Neurospora crassa OR74A: one gene and its partners. The protein of the gene in region 1 purifies or fractionates together with the protein of each later gene. This does not show direct contact. Links are inferred from orthologs where the notes say so. Each region holds a gene or a part of one and is shown in the gene's direction. Other genes may lie near its edges. The genes, in order: NCU01188, scon-2 and scon-3.

The links.
Region 2: the proteins of NCU01188 (region 1) and scon-2 purify together in Saccharomyces cerevisiae (affinity purification with mass spectrometry; 3 studies listed by BioGRID, with this or other methods). This does not show direct contact. The link is inferred for Neurospora crassa OR74A from reciprocal best matches to the Saccharomyces cerevisiae genes CDC34 and MET30.
Region 3: the proteins of NCU01188 (region 1) and scon-3 purify together in Saccharomyces cerevisiae (affinity purification with western blotting; 4 studies listed by BioGRID, with this or other methods). This does not show direct contact. The link is inferred for Neurospora crassa OR74A from reciprocal best matches to the Saccharomyces cerevisiae genes CDC34 and SKP1.

The regions. Positions count from the first base shown.
Region 1 is NC_026505.1:3,174,848-3,178,801, forward strand, and holds NCU01188 (ubiquitin conjugating enzyme), read left to right. Parts: upstream 1-1,444; 5' UTR 1,445-1,943; coding exon 1,944-2,036; intron 2,037-2,172; coding exon 2,173-2,796; 3' UTR 2,797-3,403; downstream 3,404-3,954. Other genes in the region: cpc-3 protein, read left to right, coding at 1-46. UniProt on the Saccharomyces cerevisiae protein: Catalyzes the covalent attachment of ubiquitin to other proteins. Capable, in vitro, to ubiquitinate histone H2A. Mediates the initiation of DNA replication (transition of G1 to S phase in cell cycle).
Region 2 is NC_026503.1:4,897,052-4,901,134, forward strand, and holds the start of scon-2 (sulfur controller-2 protein), read left to right. Parts: upstream 1-1,202; 5' UTR 1,203-1,723; intron 1,724-1,961; 5' UTR 1,962-2,673; coding exon 2,674-3,111; intron 3,112-3,197; coding exon 3,198-3,927; intron 3,928-3,987; coding exon 3,988-4,083. UniProt on the Saccharomyces cerevisiae protein: Substrate-recognition component of the SCF(Met30) complex, an E3 ubiquitin ligase complex that mediates the ubiquitination and subsequent proteasomal degradation of target proteins. Negatively regulates sulfur amino acids biosynthesis genes expression.
Region 3 is NC_026503.1:4,148,528-4,152,297, reverse strand, and holds scon-3 (sulfur control-3 protein), read left to right. Parts: upstream 1-1,438; 5' UTR 1,439-1,645; exon of another isoform or gene 1,646-1,801; 5' UTR 1,802-1,810; coding exon 1,811-1,883; intron 1,884-1,964; coding exon 1,965-2,230; intron 2,231-2,328; coding exon 2,329-2,505; 3' UTR 2,506-3,167; downstream 3,168-3,770.

The DNA.
Region 1 (3,954 bases):
TAATTTCAGGACGGGGAGGTGCATCTATTACGACTTGTCGGCTTGATCGGGTCGGCAGGGTATTGAAGCCCTGGGGAGGTGCCTAGCTGGGTAGGATACGTTGGCGATGGTGGGTTGGATGTGTGTATAATAGGTATACAGTTGTAAGGCTAGTAATCCCACCCGAAGGCATCACTGCTCTTTCAAATCGTCCGATGTTCCTCTTGCTTTTCGTCTATGGTGATCCCCTGAAACACCAACTCAACCTGAGTCAGCCTCCTATACAGAACCCTAACCCTTCTGTCACAAGTGAAACGCCCAACCATCTCACTACGGGAAGATCACCCTGCTGGCCAACAAGAAGTTCGTTCGCACACAAGAAGCCAGGAAGAAGACCGATTGCGGAGGAACTGACCATCAAGGTCCTTGCCTACTGTTACCCACCGGATCTTCTAACTGCCTGGCACGGACGTTTCCCATCCATGGTTTACGAGAAAATGGGAACCGCTGCCAGTATGCAAACGAATCGATCCATCTTCTTCCCTCATGTTGGGCAACACGTTACCTGTACCTACTCTTATTTACAGCAAAGTGTTGTGAATGACGGGTATATGATGCTTGGAAACAGATGCGAATGTGGATTCGATTTAAGGCATCGATCATTTGTTGTCTGGGCAGTCAACAGGACAACATGGAACTGCGTCACTTCTTTGTAGCTTCAGTGGACCGTGACGGGATCTAGTGTACTTGGGAAATTGTTAGTGCATCCTCTGAAACATCCGATAACTGCAATTCTGACCACCACCAATATGCCCTATCACCATGGGATGCTCATTTGTCAGTGGCAAAGGAACTGCACCGTCGTGTCGTCCCGTCTCCTTGCGGGTAGATTGTACATGATTGTCTGATGGGCCCCCCCTTTGCCAGAGAAAAAAAAAAAAAAAAAGGCCGTTCTGGGAGGTTCCGCCTGCTTTGTAAAGGTTGACGGGCAATTACAATACGATAATATGGAAGGGCGGGGATTACGGCCTCCCTCCTTTGACGATACTCCTGTCAGGTGTATTGGTCTTATGTAGAGGTAGGTACCTATGCCGAGAGCCCGAGACCGCCATTGTGCAGCGGTGTTGACCACCATTAACAAACGTAAGGCGAGACATGCAGTTGTTAGGATTCCTCAGTGCCTCGCTCAGCTCGGCTGCTGCACCACCATGGGAGAAGGAAGTTGGGCAATGACGGGACCATCACAAATGGTCTGGGTCGGTTGCTTCGTGTAGACTTAGGTTAAGTTGAGAGTGCGTGCTAGAGACTGCCCAACCTTCTATCCGGGTCCTCGCTCCGAGGAACCCAAGGGAAGCGTGACCCTGCCATGATTCCATCGCTCACATCGTAGTAGTGTAGTTCACACACCTTTTCCTGATCCGGTTGTGACGTTCGTACGCCCTTCCACTTTTCCTCCCGTCTGACCCTGCTTTCTCCTGACTCGCAACCTCTCTATTGTTCCAGATTGTCACCGCCCAGCCCTTGATTTCCAACCCACTTCCCAAAGACCACCATCGTGACAAACCGTGAACTTCTATCCCGACCGTCCGTGCTTCCATAGAGTCTGTTCCCATTGTTTGGTTATCGTTATCATTCCATCCCTCTTCAAAAGATCAATACCCACCCCGGCCTTCACCACCGACCGTCTAACAATCTTCCCCAAACACCCGCCCGCCTCTTGCCAACATCCCCTCAAACTACAAATACCACCATTTTCCTCTCGAGGCCCCCGATCTTGCGCACGAGAGGGATCTTCGTCAGCACTTTACGTGTCGATCCCTTGACGAGCCACCACAACATATCTACTTCACCACCACCGCCACCACCAACGAAGTAAAGTGGGCTTTTCCAGCGGCAGCCCATTCTTTCTTTTGTCAACCTCCGCCACCGGCACCTCGCCTTCACTTCCGTAACCACATTTTGCCATGTCGTACAGGACAACAGCGTCGGGCGCTACAACGCGCCTGATGAGTGAGATGAAGGCGCTACGAAAGGAGAAGTGGATTCACTTTGAAGATGTACGTCCTAGTACCGTTCGTTTTTTCTCCTTTGCCGGTCTGTCGTTCGCGGGCGCAGTACCGGCACGTCGATTCTAGTATCACTATACCTTCACTACGGAACCTAGACTGACCCTCACTTCTTTGGCGCAAACAGGACGATTCTGCGACCCTCAACATCCTCAAGTGGCGCTTCGGCCTCATGGTCATCAACCCCGACAGCGCCTTTAACGGGGGGTACTTCAGGGCCGAGATGGTATTTTCGGACGAATACCCCTACCAGCCGCCCAAGTTCCGCTTCCTGATCCCCATCACCCACCCCAATGTGTATCCGGACGGCCAGCTCTGCATCTCGATCCTGCACACACCCGGCGAGGACCTCATGTCTGGCGAGCAGGCTAGCGAGCGTTGGTCGCCGCTCCAGGGCGCCGAGAGTGTGCTGAGGTCGGTTCTGTTGCTGCTGGACGACCCTGAAATCAATAGCCCCGCCAACGTGGACGCGGGCGTCATGTACCGCGACCGCCGAGAGGATTACAACAAGAAGGCCCGGGAAACGGTGGAGAGATCAAAGAAGGATATCCCGCCAGGATTCGAGATGCCGGTCAGCTTTGAGGAAAAGCCGCCTCCGAAGGCCGAGAACGACGACGATTTTTGGGCCGAGTCGGATGAGGAGTTTGACTTTGGTGGTAGTGACACCGGGGATGACGACGAGATGGAGGACTTTGAGGACGGGGAGGAAGGGAGCGAGGATGACGACGACGATTCCAACTCCAAGCAATAGAAGGACTTGCTTGCTTACTTGCTTGTTGTTCCTTCAACAGCAGCAGCAACCGTTTTTATCGCCGTTGTCAAGCTGGGCTGGGTCTGGTTCGGGTCAGGATGGTGATGATATACCTTTCTCTTTCTTATTCTTGTTCTGCTTCAACCCGTCATATTTGCATAGCGTCGGGGACACTCGCGGTGTGTTTGGGCGTTTTCGTGGTCTCCCAAGCAGGCATATCTGGTGGGAATTTCATTGGTCGCTTTTTTTTTTTCTTTTTTTTTTTTACATACAGAGACACACCGTCACCCAAGTACTTGCCTATCCTCAGCCACAATGTTCTTGCACAGCGGAAGACATTGGCAAAGACGGGAAGCGGTCTGGCTTCATAGTAACATAGAATACATTTAGCGGAAACGTCTAGACTAGAGCTATAGACTCAACTTTCGTTTTCATGGAGCGATGAGCGGATGTAGCCCCGCGATGGCATCGCTGAGTTCAGAGAGCCGAATAGCCCGTCTGGAGCCCGTGCACGATGTCAGAGCCCAAGACCTCCGTCCCTTGACACATAACAGTGAAGAGGGGCCCGGGCCTTGGGGATGTCCCCTCAGCGACCGAGCAGTTGACCTCCGAAGCCCCTCCATCATCCCCTCATGAGATACCCATTTCTGTACAGCAAGTGAAATTTGTGAGCAGGCCGAAACCGATGAGAAACCGAAGGATACCTGCCCGACGCTCCAAGATCATCATGATGCATCTCTTCTTTGGCTTTTGTTGTCATCGTCCACGTTTACCCCGGCCCTCAGCCAAAACCTAACGGAGTGCCTCAATACCTTTCCCCCCATTCCCCGCAGTTTTTGCCATCAATCAAAAGCTGCCCCTGCCGCCTTGTTTGTGTACCTACTGTACATAGTACGTACAGGGCTCGGGTACCTCATCAAGCAGCTCTTGCATTTCATTGTCTGACAACGTAAAGGCAAACAACATCCCAATCTGGCTTCCCATCATCTCGTTCGCCCTGTCTTCGTCCAAACAGCAACAACAACAATAACAACAAAAAGTAAAAGCAGGGCTATCCTTCGCCCACTTCATCCTTTTCGCTCTTAAAGCCAGCAAAGTAGCTCGACAAACGCCAAGAAATAGTACATTCCAAACGTCTCCTGCCCCGGACCCCCGGTC
Region 2 (4,083 bases), on another chromosome or scaffold:
TGGTGGTCAAGGTATCTTGTCCCAAAACGTGTGCCATCATATCCAAGACAAGCGTGGTGTGTAGCTGATATAGAATGATGTCTTTGGTGTAGCTCGACGTGCGTTTATCGAGACATTGCGACGAGAAAACACAGCACCAGAATTGTTTGCATCACGGAGGGAGAGATTTAGAGTACATTGATACAAGGTCTGAACTTACAGTGCTTATCAGGCATGGCTAGATATTATCCCTGGAGCTCCGTCAGCCTGTTTCGACATCCACAAGCCGACATGGGCTTAGGCCTTTTAAAACCCCTCGAATGTCTGGAAAGCTTCCATCATGATGAAAACGGAAGCCAGACTTGGTCACCCCGCAAAATTCCCCAGGAAAGCAACCTTGTCGTGGGTCAACATGATGGAAAGAGGCAGAAGATGCTATTCCGAGAACACCGAGGTCGAGATTGAAGCCAGAATGGAAATGTCCGTGCCGCTGACCACGGCCCGGACTGTCTCACGATGTTTATCGGGTGGATATCACGACATGGTGCCTGGATGGGATGTTGACATGCACGGGGGAGACGGGAAGGACGGGATATGTAGATAGCGTCCATTCAAGTTGGGTTAAATGGAGACGACGCTCCACATCAAGCTGTCGTCAACAGTGCGATTGGGATTGTGTGGTCTCTGGGGACTGTGGCCGCAGTGACGTTGATGTCCGTCTTCGGAGTCCTTCCTGTCGACGACATGAAGCCGCTCCAAGGTCAGTCAAGCTGAGACGGTCGAGTGATTCAAGACGACGACGGGAGGCATGCTGTGGTCAGGTTGACAGAGGAAAAGAGAGAAAGTTGATAAAATTCAAAGTCGCCATATTAGAAATCCATGCACTTGGTGGCGAAACAACAGTCTGCTTATTTTGTTTTAATAATCGTGAGACATGTGTCGTGGTGTTGATGCTGAACCTCCAATTAGGGACCTGGCTATGGCACGTGACTGGCACTGGCATCATTGAATTGAGCTACGGAGTCTTGACTGTTAGATACTTGCTGTACTGCTTTGCATAGAGTATAACAGCCAGTACATCCCCGCATTTTACAGTGGGCCCGGTGATGTCGCAATTCTGGCGACAAAGCAACAAAGCGAAAAAAACGAGGATGGGTGACTCCACTCTGTACCTGGGAGCTTCCCGCGCCCCACCCCAGTTGATTTCGCCATTTTGCCCTTCTCTTTGCGATCAAGAGCGACGGCCAATCTTGTCTCTTTCCGTCTGCAACATTTCACAGTCACACACACACAGAGAGAAGGAGCAACGAAGTCAAGACACATCCGATTTCAGGCGGTGTGAAGCAACAGCTGAGGTTCAACACCCCGTTGCGATACTGCCCGAGACTTCCACTTTGCCATTTTGGAAAGAGTGCTCTCTCTAAGGTAGTATACCTCATCCATTCCATCCGTCACCGACAGGCGACAGCCGTTCCAGAGCTGTCACTTACCTGGTATTCGGTTACATACCTACCTCTACGCTACTGTACAAAGAGGGAGCACGGGCACTCGTACCCGACACCTACAGTAGCTTCCTTCAAAGAGCAAGAGAGCAGTCACATACCTACTAGCTGCCCAGACTGAAAGGAAGAGACAGCAAGGCACCGAAAGCCGGAGAGACTAGAAGTTTGAGACATTCCACTTGGACAACAGAAGTGGAACAAGTGAACCTGGAAATAGGTCAGCAGCGGTCATCATCATCACAGTACGTAAACCACCAAAAAAGACCCTTTAAACACTTTGACTCGGATCGATGGCGACCAAGGTGCTGTGCATTGCGTGAGGTGCCACCTTGTCCCGTCCACATCCTCGCTGCTCCCGTCCTAGGTCATCCTCCAACAGACATCGATTCCTCCTTAACGTGATTGCCCTCCAAACTGCAGCTATACTGCGCTGCACCAGATAAGAGTGCACTAACACTTACACCGCACCAATAACAACAGGTCCAACAACGTGCCCACCTCCACGGCAGGGAATCAATCCTTCAACGGTCCCTCTTTCATCTCAGCTGAGCTCTTCCTGATCGCCTCCAGTCCTCCTCCCTCCCCGGGGCTCCATCTCCAATCCTCCGCCAACAACATCCAGATCCCATCACGTGTCCATCCATCCAGAAACATCAAGATCGCCAGTTGGGCTGCCCGGCATCACATCGCTGCTGTTTGTTGTCTGCGGGACCCTGCCTTCCTTCTGCTCCTCCTCCAGCTTCATCTAGACCTGCCCAACGGTGGAGCGAGTCTGGATTCCGCATTAACGAGATTGGACCTTTGAGACGGTAGACCGCCCAAACATCGACCACACCAGGGCATCCATCCATACACCTCACATCAACCAGCCCGATCACGCAAGACCACATACCCTTTCCCGCCCCAGCCTGACCGACGGGAGTACCTACTACTAGTACATACCTTGGACTGGACAGGACTGGACAGGCAGGACAGTAGTGTACAGGACAGCACTGCGATACATACAGCAGCAATCTGCGTCCCCTGGTCAGCACGCCATCCATCGCCCTCTAGCCGACCAATGCTTGGTGTTGCCTCTTCCGCCATTCAACAACAGAACCACGCAACCGCAAACGCACTCTAAATTCCCCCTCAGAACGCACAATCGCAGCGTCATTCTGGGCCCGGCGGTCCTCGACTCCCCCTTCTCCCAATGGATTCCTACCACCTCGCCCCGTCTCGTCCGACTGCGAGCTTCGGACATGATAATGACGCCCCGCTCCAACATGGGCCTCTAGTGAACTCCTACTCTCATCACCATAACAACCACTCGCGCGACACCGACTCCGATCCCACCGACCAAAACTGCGACCGCAAACGACCCGAGCAACAGGCAAGGTTGCGCTCCCGCAACAGCGTCACCAACATGTCGTCCGTCCTCATGAGCAAGACTGTCACGCCTTTCCTTCGGGAACACATTCCCAGCATCTACGCCCCCATCGGCAAGCCGGGGAACCAAGAGACGGCCAGAGCAGAGAACCCCAATTCCAAGTACTGCTATAGACACCACCCCGACTCAAAGTGCCGAAGGGCTGCCGACAAGGCCAAGATGGTCATGATTCAGAGCGAGCTAGACAAGCTCACATCAGCGGTGGGTCTTCATACAAAACATAAACATTGATTGCTTCTTGTCTCCAAGGTTTGGTGGACTGACTGGTACCTTGCTTGAAATAATAGGATCAGCAAGCTGTGACCCACGTGTGGTCCCTGTTCTCGGCCGCCCCTGCCCGACATCGCGACCTGATGCTTCAGGGTATCCTCTCCCAGCTCTGCTTCCCCCAGCTCTCCTTCGTCTCGAGAGAAGTCAACGAAGCCCTCAAGATCGACTTCATCTCCGCCCTCCCCGTCGAGCTCGCCCAAAAGGTCTTATGCTATCTCGACACCGTCAGCTTGACCAAGGCCGCCCAGGTCAGCCAGAGGTGGCGAACCCTGGCCGACTCGGATGCCGTCTGGGTCCGCATGTGCGAGCAACACGTCAACAGGAAGTGCACAAAGTGTGGATGGGGATTGCCCTTGCTGGAACGCAAGAAGCTGCGCAACTACACCAGACAAAGACAGCTGGCCAAGGGTGGGCCACAAGGGAGGGTCACAGAACTGGCCGACTCCCACGACAGCCAGGATCGATCCGTCAATCAACATGGAAAGCGCCCGGCAGCAGAGGCGGAGGAAGAGGACCCCATCAAGAAGCGCCAGTGTATGGCTGCAGCAGAAGCCTCCAAGGCGGTAACGCAACCCAAGACCCGAAGCTGGAAGGCCGTCTACCGGGATCGCTGGCAGGTCAGCTACAACTGGAAAAACAGCCGATACAAGTTGTCGGTTCTCAAGGGTCATGAGAATGGTGTCACATGTCTCCAGCTCGATGATAACATCCTTGCGACTGGATCGTACGACACCACTATCAAGATCTGTATGTGGTCTTGCTTCTTTAAACATTGGTGCTCGCTTTAAACTAACACATTGCTGACAGGGAACATTGAGACTGAGGAGTGCATTCGGACCCTTGTCGGCCATACGGCTGGCATTCGTGCACTACAGTTTGACGATTCGAAGCTCATCAGTGGCA
Region 3 (3,770 bases), on another chromosome or scaffold:
GGAGTGTATATGGTGAAAGTGCATCGCCTTATGACTAGAAAGGTGACCAACTATTTCTTGGAAGAATTTTCGAAAATGACCGGCTGTGGTTAACAGACTTTGGCCTAGTTCTGACTGTAGGATGTTAGCAAATGGGAATATAGATCAGATGCCTTAGAACCATGCCCTAAGTGGTTAAGTAGTCTAGATATAGGGAGAAGGGGTAGTCTGTCTATAGCCCGCCTCCGCATTCGGGCCAGTCGGCAGGCTCGTTGGCGTCGTTGGCGCGAGTCTAGGTACTTTGGTAATTTCCTCCCGCACGGGTGCAGCAACTGGTCGATCTGCGCGAGCCGGACCATGGATGAATGACGAGTTACATAGTATGTATGTACAGCTTTATTTGTACCTATATTCGCGCCGGGACACAGCTTTGGAATCTTGACATTTCGCCTTCGTGATCTGAATGTACATCATACTGCGATACGGACAGATGGTAAGCAAAAGATGTCCTGGTCTGTTAGTGTGAAATAAATCTCCAGCAAAGCGGCCTTGAATATTGATAGGCCCTCATGTTGACCCCTTGTCCTTCCTCCCACGGAAGTTTGATTTTCTGTGCTCGTTGGACGGGAGGTACCGCAGCTTTTGTCACATTCAAGCTGCATTCCTTTACTTGACAATCCGTATCAATGATGCAAGATAGCAACAAAAGCCAGAGTAGCAGAGGACAATTTTGGGTACCATTATGTAGTTGTCCATCATGTATATACTTCATCTAGGAGCTTTTCCAACTGAAGCTATTGACATCCCGACATCCAACTTACAAGCGTGGGTAAAATCTACCGGGCGTGCGGGCGTATCATCCTAAGCCGGAACATACATAGTGAATATAAAGCATCTGGAAAAACGCATAGTCCCCGTGTGGGAAACCGCATGTAGTCAGCTGTCAATGAACCTAATTCGTGTGTACGTGGAATGTGCCGGTCTTTGATTATTTTTACTATCCAATGCAATGCTTTGTGTATATTGCAAGCATGAAGACATCTGTAGCTTCGAATGTCCCCAGATCACGCCAACGACGGTCCCCACATCGTCTCTTCGTGACTCAAAATACTACATCTAATCACTGGTGTGCAAATGTCCCATCGTTCCGTTGATGGGAGCTGCGTGGTGCCAAAGGTTAGTACATGGAACGGCACGTGAACGGTCAGGTTCTCTCTCCAGAGCGTTTCTGCGTCTTCCGTGTTGGAGCAAGTCCATCCGTCTCTCCAGGCAGGGCCTGGGCACTGACCACCCAACCCCATTATATTTCAACCCAAGAAGGCTGACGAGCTGAGGGGCCGCGCCAGGATTGCTAGGTGGTCTATGCACGCACTTTACGTGCGCGCAATTGGACTGCGTGCAGCGGGCTCCACAAAATGAAGGCAGAGGCGATTCGTTTGTTGGAAGGACCGACTGCGCCCGCCAACGGGCACTCACGCGGACCTCCGTCTGTACTTTCATCACTAGCCCAAGCAAACTACAGGCAACCTTTCACGGGGAAACCATAAGAACCACGCACTGCAGCCAGTTAATCACACCGCGTGCGTTCCTTCTCTCATTATTGCCAAACCTCCTGCAACTCAGAGCAAGGTCACTTTTACATTTGAGCTTGAATTTGCGCAAACAGGTAACTATATGACAACACCGTCTCCCACTTTTTCCCCCACAATTGAACTATCCCCTCTCTGCATCATTTACACCACCAGCATCAATCACATAGACAGCCAACTCAACCCATCAACATCCATCGACGTATCTTCTAACGTCAAGACTACGACTACAGACATTCAACATGGCGGAGAACGACGAACGTGCCCTCCAGAAGGTATCTCTCCAGAGCAACGATGGCCAAATCATCACCGTCGGTGAGTAGAATCACCCCGCCACCCGGCCTGTCTCCTTTTCTTTCCCTGCGACTGCAGCCGACTAACTGGCGTCAAACACAGATCGTGTTGTTGCCGAGCGATCCCTTCTCATCAAGAACCTGATTGAGGATTTGGGCGACGAGGCTGTTATGAACGAGGCTATTCCCCTACCAAACGTCAACGAGCCTGTCCTCCGAAAGGTTGTCGAGTGGTGCGAGCACCACCGCAAGGACCCGCCCCAGACTACCGAGGACGAGAACGACAGCCGTAAGAAGAGCACGGAGATCGACGAATGGGACCAGAAGTTCATGCAGGTTGACCAGGAGATGCTCTTCGAGATCATTCTCGTAGGTTTCTCCCTCGTTCTACCCGCCGATGCTACTTGATATGCAAACATCACTCGGGTTCTGCAGGGTCAGATCATGCTAACATATTCCTCATCCAGGCTGCCAACTACATGGACATCAAGCCCCTCCTTGATGTTGGATGCAAGACCGTTGCCAACATGATCAAGGGCAAGTCCCCTGAGGAGATTCGAAAGACGTTCAATATCACAAATGATTTCACTCCAGAGGAGGAGGAGCAGATTCGCCGCGAGAACGAATGGGCGGAAGACCGTTAGCCGATCAAGACCAGTTTCCACGTCAAGTCACTTTGCAACGCCGGGATCACCGTCTGCCAACGACAGAGGTTACCCCTGTGCTTCGTCTACCGGAACGCACACTTTAGCCGAGTTTGATGGATATGGGGAGAGCTGTTATGTTGGGAGATGGATATCAAACACATCTCGTGTTATCGACAGCATTTCGACGACGACGTGATACGGTTTGGGCATTCCTGGGAGGGCCACAAACGAAGCTCTTCCACTCAGTACGTTCGATCGTACCTTTGCGTTGGCAGGCGTTTAGAGGCGTTGTTCTCTAGCTTTTTTCTACGGCTCCTTGTTTTCTTAGGCTGAATCGAGGGTTTTCTTATGATGATACAGTTTGTGAATCAGGTCCTTACGTGTCTGAGAACGTCCTCACCGTAAAGGCCGACAACGTCGTCACGATTCTGTTCCGTGTTGTTGCCATGATGGCCCCCTTTACCACCAACATACTCTACATATTGGCACCTCGTATTCGCTTAATACGCCCATCATGTGAACTGTAGTCTAATGATAGCAACAACGACCCTCTGTTTCGTGGCAGCTATTCATGGTTCAAGGCGCGGAGTCACCAGGAAGAAATGGGCCTTAGAGTAGGGGAAAGAAAAGTCAGCCAACATCCACACTACCCTCCATTGTTCCATGCTAGAGCGCTCCCGGTAAAACAGGTAGGTACAGAAACCGCCCTTTTCACTGACAATTTGGCGTTTTGAACTCAACCATGGCCAGGCGCAAGGATGGCATGGAGTTGCCCATGCACACAAACAACATACTAATGGTCCAGATTGCAGAGAGACTAGGAGGGAGCTTACCCAAGTTGTATATCATGGCTCATTTTTACTCGCTTTATACAAGCCAAGGGTACAGAAGTCGTTGATGGAACGTAGGCGGGCTGATTTGGACATTGCCCACGTCTTTTGATCAAGCCCCCTCGGTGTCACAGACCTTGATATAATGCGCACACGACATGGTACATAGACCGATTTTGTAGCACAGTTCCGAGAACATGGGTAGAACAAATATGGGAATCAACTCTCGTGCACCACGTTTTCTCTCATTTCAGATCCTAATTCCCCCAGTAACCGTCCTTCTAAATGTTTGCCGTGAAAGCATAGTACTCCGAAAGTTTACGTTCCCCCAAAACAAGGATCGAGTTCCAGGATATTTCCCCCCGCCGAAAGAACACAGCTGAGAACCGACCGCCGCCGAGCCAGAACTTGGTTGTGATCACATCATCTTCC